Linked DNA regions of Drosophila melanogaster. The protein of the gene in region 1 interacts with the protein of each later gene in a pairwise test. Each region holds a gene or a part of one and is shown in the gene's direction. Other genes may lie near its edges. The genes, in order: CG13407 and isoQC.

Region 1 (4,842 bases):
AAAAACTTTCGTTGGCACTTGGCTTAAATGCCTCATTTTCCAGTCATTAAATTTCGCTGGGCGCTCTTGCTGACCAATTTCGGTGGCCATAAAATCTTATAAAAATGTTGGTGGCAAATGTTCGGCTACTAGTTAACTACAATATGTCCGAGTCAACTTGTTATTGACTCTCTGTCTCGGTCCTGGGAGGGCTTTGAAATATGTTGACAATGGCGCCAGCAACAAAAGCTAAATATAAATACCCAATCCACAAAAAAAAAAAAAAAAAAAACAGCCCCCCATTTATGTTCTCAAATTTTCAACCCCGCAAGGCAATTGACTTTTCGATATGCTTCCCTTTTTTTTGGAAGAATCAGCAAAAGTCCTCTAGTTTCTTTTCCATAGTTTTTTGCCCAACATTTCCTGTGGGCCAAATTTTTGGGGGTTGGGGCAGCGCGACAAATCAAAGCGTTACAAAGCTGGAAAATGTGTGGAAAAGTTGCAGTGCAATTTATTATATGCTTTTGATTCTGCAAATCTAGCTGATGTTGTTCTTTCTTTTTTGTTTTGCTCCACGTTGTCGCTAGCACTGCGGAAATGTTAAATATTTGTTATTGCAGTCTAATGTTTCCGCTTTACGAAAGACAACAGACAGGGATTTTTCGAGACTGTGCTATGTTTGTGATCGAAGAGTTGTATACTTCTTGTTTAAAAGTAGTATATATATTACAATTAAATATAGTTAGAAAAAGTTAGTGGAAGATCAGAGCACTTGTAGTGTGTGATAACTGATATAAGCAGCACTAATATACCCCATAAAATTCAATTCAATATAAAAATCTTTTCTGGCAATGAAAACTATTAGCCCCAGTCATAAATCTTTAAGACCAAAGGCGTGGATGTGGAGAAGTGGAAGTGGACCCCAACCAAAAGCCGGGTTCGACTAACCGCACAAGGGACCACAAGAACCGAGCTCCATTTGGCTGCACAGACGACAGTGGCAAAGTCTGGGCCAGACATGGCACAATTATGACAATTTCTGATGCATAACGCTGCATCCATAGAGCTTTTAATGCAATAAACAAGCGACTGGAGCGTCATTAACACTGACAGGAATCGGTAAGGGTAGGGAGTAGGAGGAGTGTAGGGGGGGGGGGGTTGATGCCAAGGAGCATTCCCGGCCTTTTGTCGCTCACTAATTGTCTGGCCTGGCCGAAATGTGCAGCGCATGCATGCAACGCAACGCTCCAATTCAGGTGTGTGTCAGTTGGCCGTTGTCGCCACAAAACACTTTGCCGGCAATTGTCAGCTGGCTTTTGGGTACGTGTTACGAACAGTGATGGGAAATGGAAATACTTTCTCCACGGAGTACAAAATTAAATTAAGATACTAAAGATTACCTTTCCTGAAATTCAATAAAGAAGCAATATAGCAAAGTGGATAAAGTAAGGAGCTCTCGTTTAGAATCTATAACTTCTTCTTTTAATAAGTGAGTTACTATGTTTTTTGTAATTTTTGTACTTGTACCTAGTTTAAGTATTGGTACAAATGCTTTGCTCGAGCCGTACCTGCCAACACTGCCATTGAGTAGTTGTTTTAAGGCCGTTGCAGTTGCAAGTTGCTAGTTGTAGCCAAACTCACTTAGCAGCTGACAATGACAGTCGCCTGCCTCTCTTCTTTCCCGCATCACCAGCAACACCACTATCAGCACCACCACGATTACCACCCACTTCAAGTTCACCTGCGTTAATAGCCGCCTGCCAGGCAAGTGTCTGGGAAAGGCTTTGCCCAGTTGCCTAAACGACATTGTCACTTGCGGTTGGTTGGGCGCATCATCTCCTGCTGCTTCAGCCCCAAACTCCAGTTCGTCGTGCTCGTCCTGTTAGTCCTGATCGTCCTGTTTGCGGCTTCTGCAGTCGAGTTGCCATCGGTTTATGGCAGGTTGAGCACCAGCGACAATGAGCCACGCTGGTGCACCGTGTAGTGATAAACATGCGCGCTTTTCGGCACAAATCAATTAGCAATTGAATTTGGTGAACTCAAAGACGGTGAAAATGTCCGACGGCCAAATGACAAATCAACTCAACGTGCAACAGCAGGAACAACATCCGCTGCTTTCAGCCATCTCAGGAAATAATTATGCGTAAGCCATGGTCAAAGGCATTGGGATGTCGACTGTATTTGCCATACAGCCAAATCAAATTAAATTTGATATAATTAAGAAGTGGCACACTCACTCAGTTCCCTAGAATTATATTGTTAATCTGAACTCGCTTAAGTGCTTTTTATATATTTATCAAGAAGTCCTGCTAAACAACATCGTAAATAATGAATTAATTCTTTTTCAGTCATTGATATATGCAAAACTTAAACGCTTTAACAAACTTCTTTCTTCTATCCTACGTAATATTAATAATCGCTTAAAGGAGCCTTGAAAGAGTTTAGTCAGTTGCAACAGGATAAAGTGTGCTCTTTGGCTTAAAGATTAAGTGCTGGAGTGCCGGAGGCAACTGCAATCGCAAACGACCCCTGGCCCAAAAGACAGCCACTGCGGGCGCGGACTGATACCTCAGGCACTTAGCCGGGCTAATGTGGGACACAAACAGAAGCGGCGTCTCGGCCACACAACCACATGCCCAACCCCCCCCCCCCCCCACTCACTCATCCGCTTGCCCGCTTTCACCACTCACCTTCTAACCTTCTCTTGCAGTCAAACGCAGCGTGTGCATTACTATCCCAACCACTACTACCCGAGCCACTACTTGCCGGGCCATTACCACCAAGGACACCAAGGATACCAGGGGCAGCAGGGACGACCACCGCTCCTGGCGGCCGCCAGCAGCCACAACGGTGCTTATGCGGCCACGGCGGCTGGCAGCGGACACTCCGGCTACGGGTAAGCAAAGAACCACCGCTGCACTGAGAGAAAAGCAATGGGATGAACAAGAAAATTCATTCCAAATATACAAAGAAATTAAACTGTTATGAAAAAATATAAATAACTATTTGAAGATGAATATATACTTAATAATATTGATACTAATGAATACTAAAGTTTCGAACTTATCAACCTAAATTACCTATTTCTTCCTGTGCACTGGCCATCAAAGTCAAACCATAACCCCAATTCCAGTGCAAGTTCCGCATCTAATGCCAGTTTGAATTTTGCAGCGGCATAGAGCCATCCGTGGAGTACGAGCTGCAGCATGACCCACCCTCGGGTAGCTTCTCCTCCTTTCATCCCAGTAGTGCGGGCAGTGGGCCCGCATATCCATCTGCCCACCATCCGCCGGCTGGTCCACCACCGGCTCCTCCGCCCACCAAATCGTCAAAGAAATCGAAGAAGAGCAGCGGTTCGGTGATGAACGCACTAACGCTGCTCTCGTTCTTCTTCTTTGTTAACATGCTGCAGAACTGCCTGAAGGATCATATGGCTGACATGAATCCCACCGTGATGGTGCTCACAGCCAGCGGCACTCGCAATCGTTTCAACAAATTAGCCGAGATGAATTCACGCGAACAGACCTCGACAACGGCCACCGAATCGGTAACGGCATCGGCAGCGGCATCATCTTGGAATCATCAGGCTGCTTTAGTTCCGGCCGTCGAGCCAAGTGTGCCGCCCTCCATTGTTACGCCCACGGTGGTGCTGCAATCGCCCTACAGCCGTCACACGGAGATGGCCAATAAGCCGCCCCAACGCCAGCCAATGGAGTACCAGTCGAACCCTCAGCAAAATCATCACGATTATCGGCCCCACAACGCGAATGATGATGCTTATAATTACGGGCAGCGCCGACCTCCGCCTCAGACCTTCTCCACCTCCGATGGCGGCGATTTCTATCCTAATCGCACACACATCGACCACTCGTCCCGGCCCGACTTTGAATCGGAGTCGGGCTCCGATTACTATCAGCACCACTATAACCCGTATGCTGGCACAAACTCCCATCGGCATCCTTGGTCTTATGGCAGGCAGCGTTACTCATCCGCACCGTGGTCTTCAGCTTCGTTGGGCGCTCAGTCGGGCGTGAGCTCTTACTTGGATAATGCCCAGCGACGGCAAGGTGATGATGACGATGGTCATGGTTATGGCTATGGCTATGGCCACAGGGATAGGGATCGGGATAGGGATAGGGATACGGATGCAGATGGTTTCTGGGATGAGGACGAGAATGGTCAGCAGCGGCGACGCAGCGATGCTTTCTATACTCGCACACGCATTAATTGAATGCAAGAATTCCGCGCACATTTCTATGTTGCATGGCGGGGATTTGCTGCATTAACCCATTGCACAAAAATGGGGTGGCATAATGTGGATGGGCAAAAAAAGATGTGAATGGATTTTTTTTTAGAACAGCTAAAGCAGCGTTTATAGCTTATGGCATTTTACATTCTGTAAATATTATCCACGCTCTTTCGTTGTAGCTTAAAAATACCACATTTAACTTACTTGTATTATTGATTTTCATATAAAGTTATAATACGATATAAGAATTATTTTACATTACCTTTAAAAGTTGTATATCATAATGCACGACCGAGGGTTAAAAATGCTTAGCTTACATGTATTTATAATTAAAAGCAAACAACGTGCATAAGAGCTGACAAAAAATGAATGGAAAAAGGCGATGAGGCGGTGAGGCAGACAGACACACCCGGCAAGTTGGAATCGTAATGAAAATAAATGCTAATTTGTTGCACAACAAATTAAAAGTGCCCCCAGATTTTGCCTGGCGCTTGGCTAAGACTTTATTTTATTGCCTGCCACAGCAACTAAGTTGCAATTTTCCGGACTCACACACCCGTTTGTCTAATACAAATCTGTTGCATTGCTACCTAGCTAGCAGTTTACTTATTTAG
Region 2 (5,295 bases), on another chromosome or scaffold:
TTATAAACAAAATTACAGCTTAAGTCGTCTGGTGTGTTCCGGTTTTTAAATTCATACCAACAAAAATGCCTTCAATACTCATTTAAAGTTAAATTAATATCATATTTGGTTCAAGTATAATTTGAATTTCATTGCAAGTGTTAAATTTAAGTTCAAAATGGTTTGAGACACTAAAAAATGCAACCATTACTCTTAAAGGATTGAGTATAACATAATAATATATTTCTGAGTGTTTTCTGAAACTAATGAGGATATTTAATATTTAAAGGCTGCTCGACAACAAATTTATTTATTGGAATTATTGCATGTGCAATTGCTAAGTAAGCCTAATATAAAACTGCCTTAAACAATTTAATAATTAAATAACTAAGCTTGCATTTTTGAGCAGCGATACTCACCATTGCAGTACTGGGCGGCCAAGTCAGACTCGTCGTAGCGACATCTCTTGGTGTACACCGGTTGGTCCGTGTCCAAATCCCCGACAGGATTGTGACCGGGATTCAGGCGCTTCTTGCAGCGCAGGACTTCCGGAGGCAGGACGACCGGCATCGGTTGTGCCGCGAGGTTATTGCCATCATTGTTGTTGTTGTTGTTGTTGGCGTCGGTCATGAAGGTGACGGCGCGTGGATTGAACGGATCCATCGAAGGACGCAGCGCTCCAGTTTCGAAAGTGGCGGCCGCCGACGACGACGGATCACCATGTGCCCAGCACTCGAAGTTCGTCAAAACCATCGCGCGCCAGCTGCAGTGGAATTTCCCCAAAAAAACCGAAAAGCAAGTACAGTAAATTCGGAAAAAACGCTCCTCTGCGTCCGTACTGTACTGTACGAAATCGTGCGGCGAACTGCAGGCGCGTATTTTTCCCCTAATTGAAATCGTATTTGTATGCAGTATGGATTTTGATGGCTCTGTCGGCTTAATAAGCGCCGAAAATACGCAGCAGTTGCTAAAATGGATGAAATAATTCAATTAACACACGCAAGCGGGGCGCGCGAGCATTCGGCCGAAATGCGACTGTAAATGCGGTGACGGCAACTGTTAAAAATAAACCAATAAGCAAGTTTTACATTTTGCCGCGTGCGCCTTTCGATTCACGATTGCTCTTTTGTTTTCCTTTCGCTCCAGTGTGACCACACTGCTGGTGTCGCAATAAGGCGTGCGACCCTGGAGAAAAATACCGAAGAAGTTGCGAAAAGACAGCTGTGGTTGCAAAAATAGTGCAGATCTTATGAATCTCATTGGAAGTCATGGAAACTTATAATTTATATATATTTATATTTATAATTATCGAAAATCGCGAAACAGCGTACAATATGTTACTTGAACAAATATGACACTTCATTTTGTATACCTAAAGAAATAGCTTCAATACTTCTCTTTTATTTTGATATAATTTTAACTTTTTACTCAATTAAAATGAATTAAAAAATGAGAATTTAGTTGAAAATATTTCGATAGCAACGATACCAACGATTAATCGACTAGTCGCAGTATTTTCTGGTATATTTTGAATGCTGGCACGGTACTACCACTTTATCATGTGATTTGTGATTTGTCAAATATTTCTGATAACCGAATGGCAGACCAAAGCAAAACTAGAAATTGAGAGAAATTGCTGATTTTTCAATTAAGCTGCATTCTATTTAACTGAAAAGATGTCGACCAAGAACAAGAAAGCCGCCGGAGGCAACGGAGTTGCGCCGAAACAAACCCGCCAGCAGTCGCACGTATGTAACATGACGGCTCCGATTGCCGGCTAGCTAATCCCTTGTTTATTTTGGATGCCCAGGACTCGCAGGACTACAGCTCCTTCAAGACAGTGCTCTTCTACTGCATGCTTATCGTTTTCCTGCCCGTGCTGACCTTCTTTGTGCTGAAGGGCTTCGTTCTGGACCAGTTCCTCGACATTTCCGAAGTCAAAGTGAACATAGCATCCGCCGTGGGAGCGGTCGTTGCATTGCACATCGCCCTGGGACTCTATATATACAGGGCCTACTTTGGGGCACCCGGTTCCAAGGGCTCCAAAACGGACTAATCCTCATCTACCCCGGACTGTTACCCTATTTCCATTAACTTTAAGTCGGTAGAGCACTCTTGTACATACATACATGCTACATATATAGATACAATTGTTTACATGCCAGCGAGGGAGGAGAAAGTCGCCTGTAAACCGTGTGTAATCGCTTTTCATTGCATAAGTTTCGATAACAGCGTGGAAAACGTGTTGTGTTGTGTAGTGTTCTGTGTGCATAATTTGTATTAAAAATATACATGCATAAGTGAAATGCGTCTGCTACTCAGAAATTATTCCCTAATGGAGGCCGTCAAAAGATTGCTGCCGAGACCGCGCAAAAAAATCTACAATCTAGGCGCTTGCTTCGAACTGGTGGATATTCCTAAGGTTAACTAAAACATACATTTATTTGTACTCTCTGCTTGAAAGGGGAGTTCTGTATAAAGTATACTGACTTCGGGGATTTTATTATATTGATAAATTAATTTTATGTTTTTGAATTTTATATTATATGTTTTCTTTTTGATTGAAGCACAAATTAGTCATTTTATTATTTTGTAAGAAGAGAATGGCTAGTGAACTGAATATTTCGTGTAACCATTGCTTAAGACCCCTGCTCATTAAATCTAGACACGCCCGTGACCTGTTTTTATGGGGGTGCCACCTGTTCGGGACTGGTGCTGCCACCTGATACAAATGGCAAGCAGCTGTTTAAATAATACGCGTAAACAAAACGATTTTGGTTGAATTAGTAAACAAGGAAATTAAATGATTTTTGAGAGGAGTGCAATAAATTACTGATGGGAAACAAATAGACACCCACAACGAGCGTTACCTATAGACAGTGTTATTTTCGTTAGCATTTTGACCCCCTTTGCGACGCCCATTTTTGTTATTTTGTGCCTTACAAGTCGGCCGTAAAAACTGGCCAAAATGATAATTTAATAGACTCGCCAAAGGGTCTTAAGTACAAGCCGGAGTGTGCCGCAAAATAGTTGCGCAGCCGGATGACCAATCTTTAAACTTCTTACGAACCTGCCGCTATTGATTGCAACCACCTGTTGGGACACAACACTCCCACCGCCGAACAAAAACACTCAGCCACGTAGTCTTAAGTCAGTCGGTTAAATATGCTACATCGAACAGCTAGAATGTGGACGCTGTGCGTGCAGACAGCTTTGATAGCCACCTTGGTGAGGGGATCCACTTCCCAGAAGGATAATCTCGTAGGAAGAACACAGGTCAATGGAGGGTAATGCAGCTAAACCAACCGCCTGCTTAATATGTGCTTTCTTTTAATTCAAACAGATATCCTACAATCCCAGCGAGCTCTCCGAGCCCCGATTCCTGGAGTACAGCAATCTATCCGATAAGCTACACCTAAGGGAAGCCATTGACAAAATCCTTATACCTCGAGTTGTGGGCACAACAAATCATAGCATCGTTCGCGAATACATCGTCCAGAGTTTGAGGGATCTAGACTGGGATGTGGAAGTAAACAGCTTTCATGATCACGCTCCCATCAAAGGCAAATTGCATTTCCACAACATCATCGCCACCCTGAATCCAAATGCTGAGAGATATCTGGTGCTGTCCTGCCATTATGATAGCAAATACATGCCTGGAGTGGAATTCCTGGGGGCCACCGACTCGGCAGTGCCCTGTGCCATGCTCCTCAACCTGGCCCAGGTGCTTCAGGAGCAGTTGAAACCCCTCAAGAAGAGCAAACTGAGTTTGATGCTCTTGTTCTTCGATGGCGAGGAGGCTTTTGAGGAGTGGGGACCCAAGGACTCCATCTATGGAGCACGACACCTGGCCAAAAAGTGGCACCATGAAGGAAAACTTGATAGAATAGATATGCTGGTGCTCCTGGATCTGTTGGGAGCCCCCGATCCGGCATTCTACAGCTTCTTCGAAAACACCGAGTCCTGGTACATGCGTATCCAGTCCGTGGAGACACGTCTTGCCAAGTTGCAGCTCCTGGAGCGCTATGCCAGCAGTGGAGTTGCCCAGCGCGACCCCACCCGCTACTTCCAGTCGCAGGCCATGCGATCCTCTTTCATCGAGGACGATCACATACCCTTCCTGCGGCGAAATGTGCCGATCTTGCACCTCATTCCGGTGCCCTTTCCCAGTGTATGGCATACGCCCGACGATAACGCCAGCGTGATCGATTATGCGACGACGGACAACCTGGCACTGATTATACGGCTCTTCGCTTTGGAGTATCTGCTGGCCGGAACCGAGGCCAAGTAGTCAAGTGGGCTTCCGTGTGAATCACAAATGACAAATGTTGTATCTACTTCAGGCCTTATCTAATTGACCTGTTCCAGTATCGGAGCATTGTTGGAAGTTCTTATGCCCGCCGGAAGATCCCTAGAAAACCTTGTTGTAACCGACTGCGTGCTTTAAAACTAATAAGGGAAGATCTGCAACACGCGTACTCCAAATATTTTTATACACATGTATTTATAGAAAATGCTTAGCTAATGACACGTCAGGTTTATATATTTTTTGTAATCTTTCGGTTGTAAATTGTTTCACTTATGTAAGTTAACTAAGTTAACCGGACTGATTGTCCGCACACCAGCACCGGTCAAATTGCTGACCAAGCATTTGGCCGGAAGCTCATGCATAGCCGGCAGAAGCTCTGCGCATTGGCAGAGGCCGCTATGATGTTTTTCCCTTTGTTAGCTTATAGTCAGTTTGATTTTGTATTCAATAAAGAGCGCATCGCGCCTTCAATCAACTCCAGCTACTGCTGTTATCATTGAATTGGTTGGCTAGCCTTAAGGGCAGTCAACAACGGAGAGACGTTCTCCCACCATATCTCCCAATCTAGGAGAAGAGGTCTGCGGCAACCGCCCTGCCTCCCAGTGACAGAGGAACCCCCCGTTACCTGCAACCTACGCCGGAGACCGCGGCGAGGGACCTGCACCTTATATTTAATTAATTGGCACCCAACTCCAGGAACCCACACCACTACCCTGAATCATGTAAGTGGGATTCTCAACTTAAACACTACTCCAAACTGCGTCTAGAATTTTAAAATATTTGGGATGTTTGTGCGAGTTACATAAATAAATTAAGAAAATCGGCATTTCCACTACAATAAACGTTTATATGTGTTGCGAATTAAGATTATGTTACTGTTATGAAGTTTAAATATCGAATTTTGATTTGTGGTTGACTTTGCAATCCATATTGTGTGCATTTCATTCCGCCTTCGCACATCCGCGGGACACTGTCGTTTCATTCGAAATTTAATTAGCTACATTGGC

The links.
Region 2: the proteins of CG13407 (region 1) and isoQC interact in a two-hybrid assay, tested with the Drosophila melanogaster proteins (one large-scale study listed by BioGRID).

What each region holds. Positions count from the first base shown.
Region 1 is NT_033777.3:22,101,381-22,106,222, forward strand, and holds CG13407 (uncharacterized protein), read left to right. Parts: upstream 1-2,033; coding exon 2,034-2,122; intron 2,123-2,689; coding exon 2,690-2,875; intron 2,876-3,150; coding exon 3,151-4,210; downstream 4,211-4,842.
Region 2 is NT_037436.4:20,472,243-20,477,537, forward strand, and holds isoQC (iso glutaminyl cyclase), read left to right. Parts: upstream 1-2,223; 5' UTR 2,224-2,284; coding exon 2,285-2,401; exon of another isoform or gene 2,402-2,549; intron 2,550-2,719; exon of another isoform or gene 2,720-3,144; coding exon of another isoform or gene 3,145-3,255; intron 3,256-3,322; coding exon 3,323-4,270; 3' UTR 4,271-4,761; downstream 4,762-5,295. Other genes in the region: CG32428 (uncharacterized protein), read right to left, coding at 399-732; CG5969 (uncharacterized protein), read left to right, coding at 1,656-1,727, 1,790-2,035. UniProt on the Drosophila melanogaster protein: Acts as a glutaminyl-peptide cyclotransferase. Responsible for the biosynthesis of pyroglutamyl peptides. Might be more efficient in the conversion of tri and tetrapeptides in vitro.